3 linked regions of the Cricetulus griseus genome follow. The protein of the gene in region 1 purifies or fractionates together with the protein of each later gene. This does not show direct contact. Links are inferred from orthologs where the notes say so. Each region holds a gene or a part of one and is shown in the gene's direction. Other genes may lie near its edges.

What was found. Proteins that work in one complex are often made in the same cells at the same time.
Region 2: the proteins of Slc22a15 (region 1) and Vapb purify together in Homo sapiens (co-immunoprecipitation; 3 studies listed by BioGRID and IntAct, with this or other methods). This does not show direct contact. The link is inferred for Cricetulus griseus from reciprocal best matches to the Homo sapiens genes SLC22A15 and VAPB.
Region 3: the proteins of Slc22a15 (region 1) and Vapa purify together in Homo sapiens (co-immunoprecipitation; 3 studies listed by BioGRID and IntAct, with this or other methods). This does not show direct contact. The link is inferred for Cricetulus griseus from reciprocal best matches to the Homo sapiens genes SLC22A15 and VAPA.

Annotation. Positions count from the first base shown.
Region 1 is NW_023276806.1:55,080,031-55,083,530, forward strand, and holds part of Slc22a15 (solute carrier family 22 member 15), read left to right. Parts: intron 1-2,659; coding exon 2,660-2,792; intron 2,793-3,500. UniProt on the Homo sapiens protein: Organic zwitterion/cation transporter with apparent specificity for amino acids and their derivatives. Has low affinity for its substrates and may regulate their flux across the plasma membrane at high substrate concentrations.
Region 2 is NC_048599.1:5,261,699-5,265,741, reverse strand, and holds the start of Vapb (vesicle-associated membrane protein-associated protein B/C), read left to right. Parts: upstream 1-1,243; 5' UTR 1,244-1,338; coding exon 1,339-1,396; intron 1,397-4,043. UniProt on the Homo sapiens protein: Endoplasmic reticulum (ER)-anchored protein that mediates the formation of contact sites between the ER and endosomes via interaction with FFAT motif-containing proteins such as STARD3 or WDR44.
Region 3 is NC_048595.1:454,567,821-454,571,799, reverse strand, and holds the start of Vapa (vesicle-associated membrane protein-associated protein A), read left to right. Parts: upstream 1-1,179; 5' UTR 1,180-1,257; coding exon 1,258-1,336; intron 1,337-3,979. UniProt on the Homo sapiens protein: Endoplasmic reticulum (ER)-anchored protein that mediates the formation of contact sites between the ER and endosomes via interaction with FFAT motif-containing proteins such as STARD3 or WDR44.

The DNA of each region.
Region 1 (3,500 bases):
GTCTTACTGTATCTTAGTTGAGTTTGAACCAAGTAAAACCCTCTTGATCACGTGGTAGCTAAGTAATAAGAATTTAAATGATGCTTTAGAGGAGTTGAAAACAAAAAACTGTAAAGGAGAGTCAGGATAGGGTTGTGGAAATCTTTCTGTCAGCTGACTTTGTGAAATACTTGTCACCTGCGCCTTAGCACTCTCAATTCATGGAGCTCTGCTGAGGGAGAGACCCCAGATTCTAGCTAGCTTTCTCCAATTAGCTTTGCAAAAATCTGCTTTTCAAATTTCTGTCTGTTCTTGAATGTAGTCCAGGAGAAATGGGAGGGTGCGTTAGCCTAACCAGCATTGACTTGAAGAAAAATTAGTAGAAATTACTTTGACACTTGGAACTGGCAGCCTGAGAATCAGGATTTGGAATTTGCTGTTTATCCATCCCTTGGGCCATTTCTTCCTAAAATCATTGTCCAAGTTGACAGCTATTCAGTTGCTGAGGGATGGCACTGTAGCCTTTTTAGTGGATATGAGAAATTTGGTAAATACAGTCAACAGTCTAGTCATTTCCTTCTGACCTAGCTCGCTGTCCACCTGAGTATCTTGACCATATATACAGACTGGAATTCCTAAAGCACAGAGAAATCAATGCTAAAGTCACAAGGCAGCCTTTAAGAGCATGTAAGCATGAGCATTAAGAACATGATAAATATAACAAGTGTTTGAATTAAGACGTTAATTGTAGTTAAGAACAATTCCATTTGTTCCTGTTTCGTCTATCACAGGAGCAGGACTGTCCCTGTGATGGATGCTGAGCTGGCTCCTCTAGGACAACAGGGCACCTGACATCTCACTTTTCCATTTCAGAATATGTCACCATAGTCATTCCTCCCGAATTGAACATTATTCTACAGGACTAACAGTGTATCCAAAACGAATTAGCTTTTCAAAAAACAAAATTCTTTTTCAAATGCCAGAGGTCTCTTCATCTCTCTTCTATGAAATTCTAACCCATATTATAACCCTGTCTGTCATGATCTGACTTGTCAAGACCATCATCAATCCAGGCTTATAGAAGATACAAAGTAAGGAGAGAGTTTGGATGTGCTTCTGGGGCCCCAGTTAGTTAAAGCATGGTGAAAGGGTACACACACACACACACACACACACACACACACACACACACACACACACACACACACACACACACCAAACAGGGGCAGGCAACCCAGAAAAGTGCCGCCTTGAGAGTTCTCAGAGAAGGGCTCTTGGGTGGATCTGCAAGGGGGCTGGGAAGAGGAAAGATGTGTCTTTGTGTCCTCTGAGGTTATACCTCTGTGACATGCTTTACTGCTCCTCACTGATAACTATCACTAGATAGGCTGTCAGAAGATGATGCTGAACAGAATGAGATTGCCTTCTGTTTACATTCATAATTGTCCATAGCACTCTAGGAAGTTTTTCTCATGCTAAATTTGCATGGCACGAAGGATACCTACCACCTTGGTGTACAGTGTATAATTCTGGGGAATTCATATATTTATATTCTGCAATCATCACCGCTGTCTGTCTCCAGAATGTTTTCATCATTCTACATGGAAAGTGTGTTCTCATGAGACATTGACTCCCTGTCCCACATCCCTTCATCCCTGTAACCACTATTCTTTCTGTCTCTGTGAAGCTAACTCTTGCAGGTACCTAATATTACGAGAGTTGTGCAGCATTTGTTCCTTCTTGCCTGGCTTGTTTCTATAATGTCTAAAGTTCATCAGGGCTGTCGCATGAATCAGACTGCATTAGCTCTAAAGTAATATTGAGTAATATTCCATTGTACATGCATATGGCATTCTACTTCTCTATTGATCTGTTGATTGACACAGGTGACTCTGTCTTCGATTATTGGGAATATGATGTGTTAACCTGGGTGTTGACAGAGAACCTGAATTTGGAATTTGCTGCTCATGCATATACACCCAGAAGAGAAATTGGAGGATCATATGATGTTCAGTTTTAATTTTGTATTATTTTATGTGCCTGAGTTTTTTTTTTCCTGCATGTATGTCTATGCAGTGCCCTCAGAAGCTAAAGACAGCTTTGGATCCCCTGGAACTGGAGCCACCATGGGCTTGCTGGGACTCAAACTCCCATCCTCTGGAAGAGTAACCAAGTGCTCTTACCCCCTGAGTCCTCTCTCCACCTCCCTTCCATTTTATTTTTTTGAGGAATGTGCTCAAGGAATTTTAAATATACTAATATGTTAACCAAAAGATTTATTCATTGATTACTTCATAGGTGTCATGTGATGTGTAGGCATCCGAAAAATGGAAATAGAACAAGGCTTCTCCTCTCCAGAAACTGCCAAGGACTCAGGACAAGGCCATAGTCAGCAATTGTATATGTGATTAGCACTTGCATGCTGTGTGCAGTTCTGCTGGGAGTATATGAAGAATACCCTGCAAGTATACCATAGCAGCAATGGTTCCCAGTGTTTCTGAAGCTGTCTCCTTGGATGTTGTCTGTGATGAATATTCCAGCAGATTCTGGCTAACGGACATTGATACCAGTGTCCAATCTGTGTTATAAACTAGGCTTTGTTAGTGCAGTGTATATATTGCTCTCTGTGACCTAAATTGTCCCCCTCATGAATTTTTTGTTTTGTTTTGTTTTCTTATAGTGGTTTTTAATTGCCAACCGATCTTACAAAGTCAGTGCGGCCAGCTCCTTTTTCTTCAGTGGTGTGTTTGTTGGCGTTATCTCCTTTGGTCAGCTTTCAGATCGCTTCGGGAGGAAAAAAGTCTACCTCACAGGTACTTTGTCACCATGTTCTTACACTGAATAAGAGGCTTTATGTCCCTAAGAGTCTTAAGGAAATAATAAGGGGTTATTTTCTTTCTTTTTTTTAAATGGAGTGTGCTGGATGTCTCTACAATTTTGTTCAAATGACTGCAGAACCTGGGGGTTATTTTCTTAAAGTTCTCTGAGTCCACAGGTAGACAGAGCTTCTGTTTATTACACTGGCAAGAGGCCACACTGCAGCTAGCCGAGACTCTGGCCGAGTGGTTTTCGGGAACGAGTTCACCCTGCTAAGGCCAGCTATTTCTGCTAAAAACATTTTTTTTTTCTGACAGTGCTTTCTACAACCCCCAAATTGTAATCACTGCCCTGCTTCTAGACAGAGCAGTAGAAGATTGCTACAGCCTTCCCATCCTTTCTCTGTGTCTCTCTGTGTTGATTTATTTCAAATGAACTCTATAGGACTTGGCGTAGCTGTCTTGACAGGCTGAGTATGAGTGAGGATTTTCAATTTCTAGCATTATTATGAATAACTGAAAATGGTGTGTGATTGACAGAAATTGTAAAACAAAGAAAGCAAGCCTTGGGTCTTTTTTTTCTTTTTGTGGTTTTCAGGGCAAATTATTAGAAAAAAATGCAAGCCATAGCTCAGGACATTTAAGTTTACAAAGGTTTATTTCACAAACTGATGAATATAATTTATTATTTTCTTCAAATGCTGC
Region 2 (4,043 bases), on another chromosome or scaffold:
GCTAGACTTTCATGGCATCAGTACGCGTGTTAAGAATTTAAATAAGCATGGGAGCAATAGCAGCAGACCATGCAAGGAAAGACCAGACTGAGGTGAAAACAACCCTGAAGAAGCAAGGCATGAGAGACAAAAAGAAAATAGTAAACCAAACAGAAGAAACAATGTAAGCTAGTAAAATAGATCCAGGTACACCAGCAAATATAATAAGTATAAATGGATTAGATACACAAGCTAAAAGACAGAGACTACCCCTAAAAACCTTTATGATGAAAGCAAGTCCAAGTACACGCAAAGTGGGAAATGCCTGAGAGACACAGACATTATCCCTGCCATACATATGTGGTCGACCATGGTGAACAACTGGCCGTGTTTACTTCATATATGTCTGTCTGATGAGGAGGCTATTAAGATCTATTTCACATAGTATACGTTACACAATGAGATATTAGTCACACGCTAGTAAGAGGATAGAACGCCTATTTTGGGTACTAGACAGACCTAGGCTCCCAGATCCTTTCCATCATGTGATTTATTTAATCATGTGAATTATGTGTAACCAATTCATTCTCTCCACAAGGTCCCAGTAAAGGTCTGAGGCGGGTCGTTTTCTGGTGATTGTGTTTCTAAATATTTCTTGCATAAACGAATAATGGTATCTATTAGCGAACGGTTCAGTGCAGTGCTTTGCGGTTTGGTAAACACAGAATGCAGAATAGCTTTTATTTATGACAGTTACTGAAAGCATTCAGCAGAGTGGCACGAAATAAGCAAACAATAATTGCCTGTTTATTATATTTATAATTGTTATTTATGAACTGTCACGAGGCCTAGCACATATCAGTAACCCATAAACATCGTGTTTGTAACAATAATAAGTACTTTATTATATTCAGGCTCAGCAGAGCTTGGCACCACACGTGCGGGAAGAAAGTGGAAGTTTATTCTTGTTAATTATTATTATTAAGTAAAGCACTTAACAGTTCTCCCCGCAGGCGCTAACTAAACTGTCTAGCCACAGACTGCCCTTCCTCCCAAGCAGCGCGAGACCACGCCCCCTGCGGTGGAAGCTCCGCCCCCGCCGGCCCGGCCGTGCCTGCGCAGTGGCCCAGAAAACTCCGCGCACGCGCAGTCTCCCTTTCGCCGCCGGAGCCTCCGGCCAGTGCCGGAGCCGGGCCGCTGCTGCGTGCGTGCCTACGTGCGTGCGTGCGTCGGGGCGTGCGTGCCTACGTGTGTGCGTGCCGTAAGCTCGCCGGGCACCGCGGCCTCGCCCTCCGCCCCTGCGCCCCGCCGCCCAGGCCGCCGCCCCCGCCCGCGCCGCCGCCCCCGACGGGGAGGACCATGGCGAAGGTGGAGCAGGTCCTGAGCCTCGAGCCACAGCACGAGCTCAAGTTCCGAGGTAAGCGGGCGGCCGGCCCGGGAGCTGTCACTCAGCGCCCGGCGCCGGAAGGGACGCGCCCTGAGGGCAGGACGCTGTCCGCCTGAGGCCCGCGTGCACCAGGCGCCTAATGCATGCATGTGGAGCCAGTGCATGGAATCTGCCCGAGTCCCCTGCTCGCCAGCCCCTCCCCCCACGAGGCAGCCAGCTACAGCCCAGGAGTCCCATGCACACTTTCTGTGGAGTCCACACACTTGGTGTATACGTTTGTGTGTGTGCAAAGGTGCACTGTATACATGCAAGCATGCACACGTGAATTAGAAGGTGCACGTTACACAAATATGTGTGCACAGTTTATGCATTGTTGCACTGTGTTCACATACATTCTACGCACACGTCCGCACACACGTATTTATGTGTGCGTGCGCGTGTGTGTATGTAGGTATGTATGTATGTATGTATGTATGCCTCCCTTCACCAAATGTAAGGGCCGCGAGGCAACGAAGACCATGTCCATCTGGATCCTTCCGTCGTGGCATGTTTTGGGCACTGGAGTCCTATAGAGCTCATCAGACTAGTATGCAAGATGATGGCAGGCTTTGGTAAGCGCTAGGAAGGAAAGGATGAAGCTAGACTCTGTGGAGGTAGACTTGAGGTTGGCTGGTGTGATCACCCCAATATCACCTACGTGTAGCCCACAGCGGGTGATCACAATTTGGGGTGTTGAGAGTCACCCGTTTCTCTGCCTTTGGGAAGTAGTGTGGGATCGCGGCTCTTACCCAGTTGGCACATACAGACATTGGAATTCTGGTCTCAGAAGTTTCACACACTTAGCCATTGTAACTACAGACTCTTGGGAAACATCTCAGCTGCAGCTGCTCACCTGGCCTCCCAGGTTCAGAATGCGTAATGACTTCGGTACACACGGAAGCAAAGGCTGTCCAGTTAAGTCAAAAACAACTTCAGGAAGCCTAATGCTGGGTTGTAGAGATGACTCAGCAGGCACAGCCCCGCTTGTTACCGAGACTGACTACTTGAGTTCAGGCTCTGAGGCCCACGTAATCAAAGGAGAGAACCAACTTGTGAAAGTTGTCCCCTCACCGCCCCATGCCCAGCACACTCACGTACAAACGCACAGACAACATGCACAAAAATTTTTAAATAAAAATTTCCACTTAATGTGGATCCCAGTTTTGGGAAGTCACCCACGTATCAGGGTTCCACCGGATGGTGGTGAGAGGGTGATGACGTTTGGTAGCAGCTATGATCTTTCATCCTGGCCTATCTACCAGGGCACCACCCATCTCTGTGGCATGTGTGTGTGTGCATGCCTCTAAGCTCTTCAGCATGTGTTTTTGTTTAACTTATTTTGCATTTATTTATTCTATGTTGGGGGTCTATGGGCCACAGTGAATGTGTAGCGGTCAGAATAACAGAGTCATTTCTGGGCCTGCTGGGCCATCTTGCTGGCCCAGTCTCTTAGATGAGATCTCATGTAGTTCATGTTGACCTCAGCCTCGAGATGATCCTTCTACTTCCTAAGTGCTGGGATTACAGACTCAATAAATATTTGACTAGCAGATTATGATAAAACAAGCTTTGTGCTAGATGGTTCCATGCACCTCTGGGATAATGGAAGTCTGGACACGTTGAGGTCAACTGTGATGTTCAGAAAGGTGAAATAGATTGAATGTGTTTTTTACTTAAGCGTGTTTTCAACTTAGGGGATGTCAGGATCTAACTTCATTGAGAGACATGTTTGTTTGACTTTCTGTCATGGTCTCTGGTTTCTTTGGAGGAGGAGACTGGAAGCCAAATAGCCAAAGTGAATGTGGTAAGTCAGTGGCTTCTCTGGGGTTGTCTGGAGTTCTTCATCCAGGTGCCCAGCTCTGCCTCACCTGTGACTTGACACATTGGTCCACATTCATATGTTGGAACCCAGGAAAATTCAAGCCCAGTTGATTGTGCTCCCCTGCTCTTCCTTGGCATGCACCCATCTGTTACATCCAGGGTAAGAAGGGGCAGATGAGATGGTCCAGACTGGAGAGAGTGGTGGGACAAAGCAGCCCAGAGCATGGGGACTGTCACAAAGGTCCAGTGTGGGCGGGATTGTTTTGGGCATGGCCAGTGGTGAGCATAGGGGTCCAAAAGCTGGGCTGTGTGCTCTTTCGGGGTGCATGGGTAGGAGATGTGGTGCAGAGTAGAAGGCCAGGGTGCCTCGTCCACAAGAGTCAGGCTTGCACACTCACCCTGTTAAGACCCTGTGATGACTTGTTGGTCCTTCCTTGGATTGAGCCCTGAAGCCCCAAGCTCCCCCATCACTGTCCTCTGGTGTGTGGACCAAGGAAACATCCATGTTCTGTGTCTTTCAGTTAAGTGTTAAGTGTGTGTGACCTTGGGCTGCTGCCTTGTTCTCTAACCCTTGAATTGATGGCAGTGCTAAGTAGGTGACACCTCTTCAGCCAACATCACTGGTTGCCAGGGAGATGGTCCAGAAGTTTGGTGTACAAATGTCCTCACTCTAGAAGAGGTGTCCCGGGATGTGTGGGGTTCTGACAGGCCTTGTGAGTGCCAGCCGTGCGTGGTTAGCACAGAGCCCTCATCCCCTGGAGATGAAGAAGCCGTTTTTTTGTTTGTTTGTTTGTTTGTTTTGTTTTCCCCCTGAGAC
Region 3 (3,979 bases), on another chromosome or scaffold:
ACTGAAAAAGTCTTAAGCAGCTGTGGTACCCTCAGGGGTGGGGACGACCCATTCCAACCCTGGCGTCCTGGGGAGTCTAGGGTGCTTCTTGTCGCCTGGAGCTTCCTTAGAGATTTAAATGCAGGCAGCACCACAGGGCGCAGCAAAGGTTTATTTATCTGTGCATGTTTTACAGCGCATCCATTTGTTGTGTTTGCTCCTCCTGCCAGCCTCTCTGCTGCCTGGCCTGCTTCTCCTCGCGCACAGGCTCTGTCTCCTCAGGGGAGGCGGCCGGCACGCTGGGGGCCCGCCCGCTCGCCCGCTCGCCCCTGCCCGCGGGCTCCCGTTTGCTTTGGGGCGGGGTGCGCGTTTCTAGGTCCGGCTCTGCTCGGTTGCGGGTAGACGAGGGAGGGAGGAGGCCGGCTTGGAACCCCGGGAGGCCCGAGATGGAGGGCCCCGCCGCCTTCCCACCGGGACGCGGGCCCGCGGAACCCTTCTCCTCCTCTCCCAGGGCCGACGAGACGCCCCGGGGCCAGCCCGAAGCCAGCGACCCCGCCCGCCCGCAACGGACCGGACCGCCGCCTCCTTCCCCGCTCCCAGCAGCCCCCGCGCGCAGGCCCCGCCCTCCCGCCGCCCGGAGCATGCCGGGAGCCGAGGGCCGCGGCGCCTTCCTGACGGCCTCTCGTTCGGAATTCCGCTCGGAACGCCGTGAGGCCCCCGCGTCGTGGGCGCGCCAGCTCGGCACTCCGCGCTCGCAGCTCCCGGGCACCGGGAACGACGCTTCTCGGCCGGGCGCCCCGCCCGCCCCGCCCCGCCCCGCCCCGCCCCGCCACGACTGACAGCCGCACGGCGCCGGGAGCCGCAGCCCGGGCCGGGCCCGCGCAGGCGCATTAGCCCCGCCTCGTCCCGGTCAGGCCCGGAGGGCGGGCCGGCGCGCGGCTCCGGGCCGCGGCGGCGCGCACGTCGGCGCGTCCAGCCCGTCACGTGTGGGGAGCCGAGGCCGGCAGTGCGCGCGCGCGGCCGCGGCGGCTGGTGTGGGGTTGAGTCGGTTGTGACACCCGGAGCTGCTGGCGCGACAGGCGGCCCTCGGAACCCGCGGCCCCGGCGGCAGCAGGCGCGGAGCTTCGGCAGTCCCGTCGTGAGCCTGGCCCCGTCCTAGGGCCCCGCCGGCGCCGCCCGCCGCTCGCCGCCCGCCGCCCCCGCCCGCCGCCGCCAGCGAACCGCCGCCGCCGCCGCCGCCGCCGCGGGCGCGCGCGCCGCCGCTCTGCGCTGTCTCCGATGGCGTCCGCCTCCGGGGCCATGGCGAAGCACGAGCAGATCCTGATCCTCGAGCCGCCCTCCGACCTCAAATTCAAAGGTGAGCCGGCTGGGACGCGCCCGAGCGGGGCCCGGGCCGGGGCCGGGCGGGGGCCGGGGTCGGCGGGCGGGCGGGCGAGCGTCTGGGCGAGGGAGCGAGCGAGCGGGCGGGGCGGCGGCGGCGAGGCCGGGTCGGTCGGGCCGCGCTCCCCTCCCCCACGCCCGCGCCTAGCGTCGGCCCCGCTGCGTCCTCGGCCGGCGCCTCGCTCTCCGCCGCCGCCCGCCCGCTCGCTCGCTCGGGCTGCGGAGGGAGGGGAGGGAGCCAGGGCGCTGCGGAGGGCTCAGCCCGGCGCCGCCGCGCGCCGTCGCCATCTTGCAGCCCGCGGGGCGCCGCGGGGAACCCGCCCGCGCCTTGCTCGCCCACCACCCGCCGCCGCGCCGGCGTCCCTTGCCCCCGGGCGTTGCGGGCGGCGGCGGGAGCTGCAGCTTCGCTCGGCGTCTGCGGGCGGCCGTCGGTGGCCACGGGCGAGGCGCGCAGGGCCGGGCGGGGCGGGCGCGGGCCTGGCCCCGGGTCTCCCGGGTCAGGTGCGGGGCTCGGGGGCGCCCCAGGCCCCCAGCGCTGTCGGGCTGGGACTGACCCCGGGCGCTGGCAGGGCCCCAAGCGCGCGGCGGGAGGCTGCGTGTGCGTCAGCTCGGGGTTTGCAGCGCTCTAGGTCGCGGGTAGCGGGTCCCCGGTGTCACCCGGGCTCCCAGCCCCGGGGTGCGGGGAGGGCGGGGGAGCACGCCGTCTTTTTTTTTTTTTTGCCGAGGGGTTCGTTCTCGGTGTCGGCGACTCGAGCGTTTGCGGTTTCCCAGCATACCCCGAGAAAGCTGATAAGGTGCCACGCCGCGCCGGGGCTGCTGACGGTGGAGCACGGACGGTTCAGATCCAGGGCCCTGGGCGTCTCCGTGTGTGTGTGGGTTTGTGGGCTACGTAGCGGGGAGAGAAGCTTGAACCGTACAGCGTACTAATTTTTAAGGTTTCCTGATAGGATGTGGAGCTAAAAGGACCTGCTCCTCCCTCTCTTTAGCTAATACCTGGGGTTTTAATTTTAGGAACTGTGATGAGAACGATTTCCCTTGGGTTGTTGCATGGCAGTTCTAGTATTAAAAGAAACAGTGAGTCCATGATTGTGTAAGATTGAGTCCGAATGAAAATAGCTGGATTGTCCCCGTGGGAACCATTTTTAAATTATATTTTAAATAGTTTAGGACTTACAAAGATTTTGATGTTTTGCTAGCAGTACTTCCTACACTGCAGGTGTTCGGTGCATTTACAGGTTTCTCTGAATGGAGACTTACAGGATTCCTCATTTGACAAGAGCTTGATTTTTTAAGGCAGGGCTAATTAATACCTTTGAAACTAGGGGTGGTCAACCACGCTTCTAATCCCGGCGTTTTGGAGGCCAGCCAGGAACCATGGAACGTTTGAAACAAGACTGGGTTACATAGACACTAGACAGTGCCTCAGAACCTCAGATACTTTGCGTACATTTTGCTGCAGCAAATTTCTGTTGCCTGATTTTTGGAAGGGGGTTGGGTGGGGGTATGCAGAGAAGTCCTTCAAGTGTTTGTACTAAAGTAGTCATCATTAGTTGAAGCGATTTAATGTAAATCTTCATGATGCTGTAGTTTGCTTTCCCCTTTGACAGTTCACGAGGAAATTTTCTGAACTGCATAGCCTGTGTGAAAAGCATTTTAGGAGGCAGGTTTTAAAAACCAGAAGAAATAGTGCATTGTGCTTTATCCACTCGTTTCTTTCTGACGTTAAATAATTCCAACAGGCTATTGTGTTATCAAAATAACAATCCAAGACTAGTGAGGGAGACCAAAAAGATGATATAAATGGTGTTTGAGGAAAGCAGCTTTTCTCCGAAGGAATGAATCTTTTAAGGGAAAAGGTTCTTGTGAAGCGGCCGGGGGCTGGGGAGAGTTATGCAAAGGGAGGGGTAAATACTGAGGAGAGGAGACTTCAGACTTAAAGTGCAGGTCCTTGTAAAGGTGGGCCAAGCAGAGACGATAGGGAGAGGGCGAAGTAGGAGTGTGACATTTGGGGTTTGGCGCTTTCCTCCTTAACGTTACTTTGTCAGTCACAGATTACTCTGTACAATGGAGACGTCTGTCTTTAAATGCACAGCTCTACACTAGTAGGGTGATTTAGGATCCAAGTGTGCATCCTTTGGTGACTATATCAGAAATTATTTAACTGATTTTTTTTTTTCATTTAGTGTAGGTTGTTTACGCTTTTTCCTTTGCAAAATTCTTTGATTATTTGGTAGGTTTATTTGAATTATTTGGATTCAACATTTATGTTGTGATGGTACCTTCAGGAGTGACTCATTCAACCATTCTGAGATTGACAGTTCTCCTTTAACATGAGTAATGACTTGATAAGAGTTATTACTATTCACGATTTTGGAAAAGCAGGTATATTTTTTTGTGTGTATCTCCATCTTAGTAAAATTTTAACTAGCAAAATGTAGAAAACCTTTTATGGTTGTAGAATGAATTCTGAAGCATACCTTTTAGTGCTTTTGTGCATAAAAAGATCGTAAAACATTTTTTTTGACCCTACCAGCAATTTGACTAGTAATTTAGATTTGAAATTAGATGTTTCATGGAAAAAGCTTTTTTGTCCTTAAAGTTTAATGTATTACAAAATTTG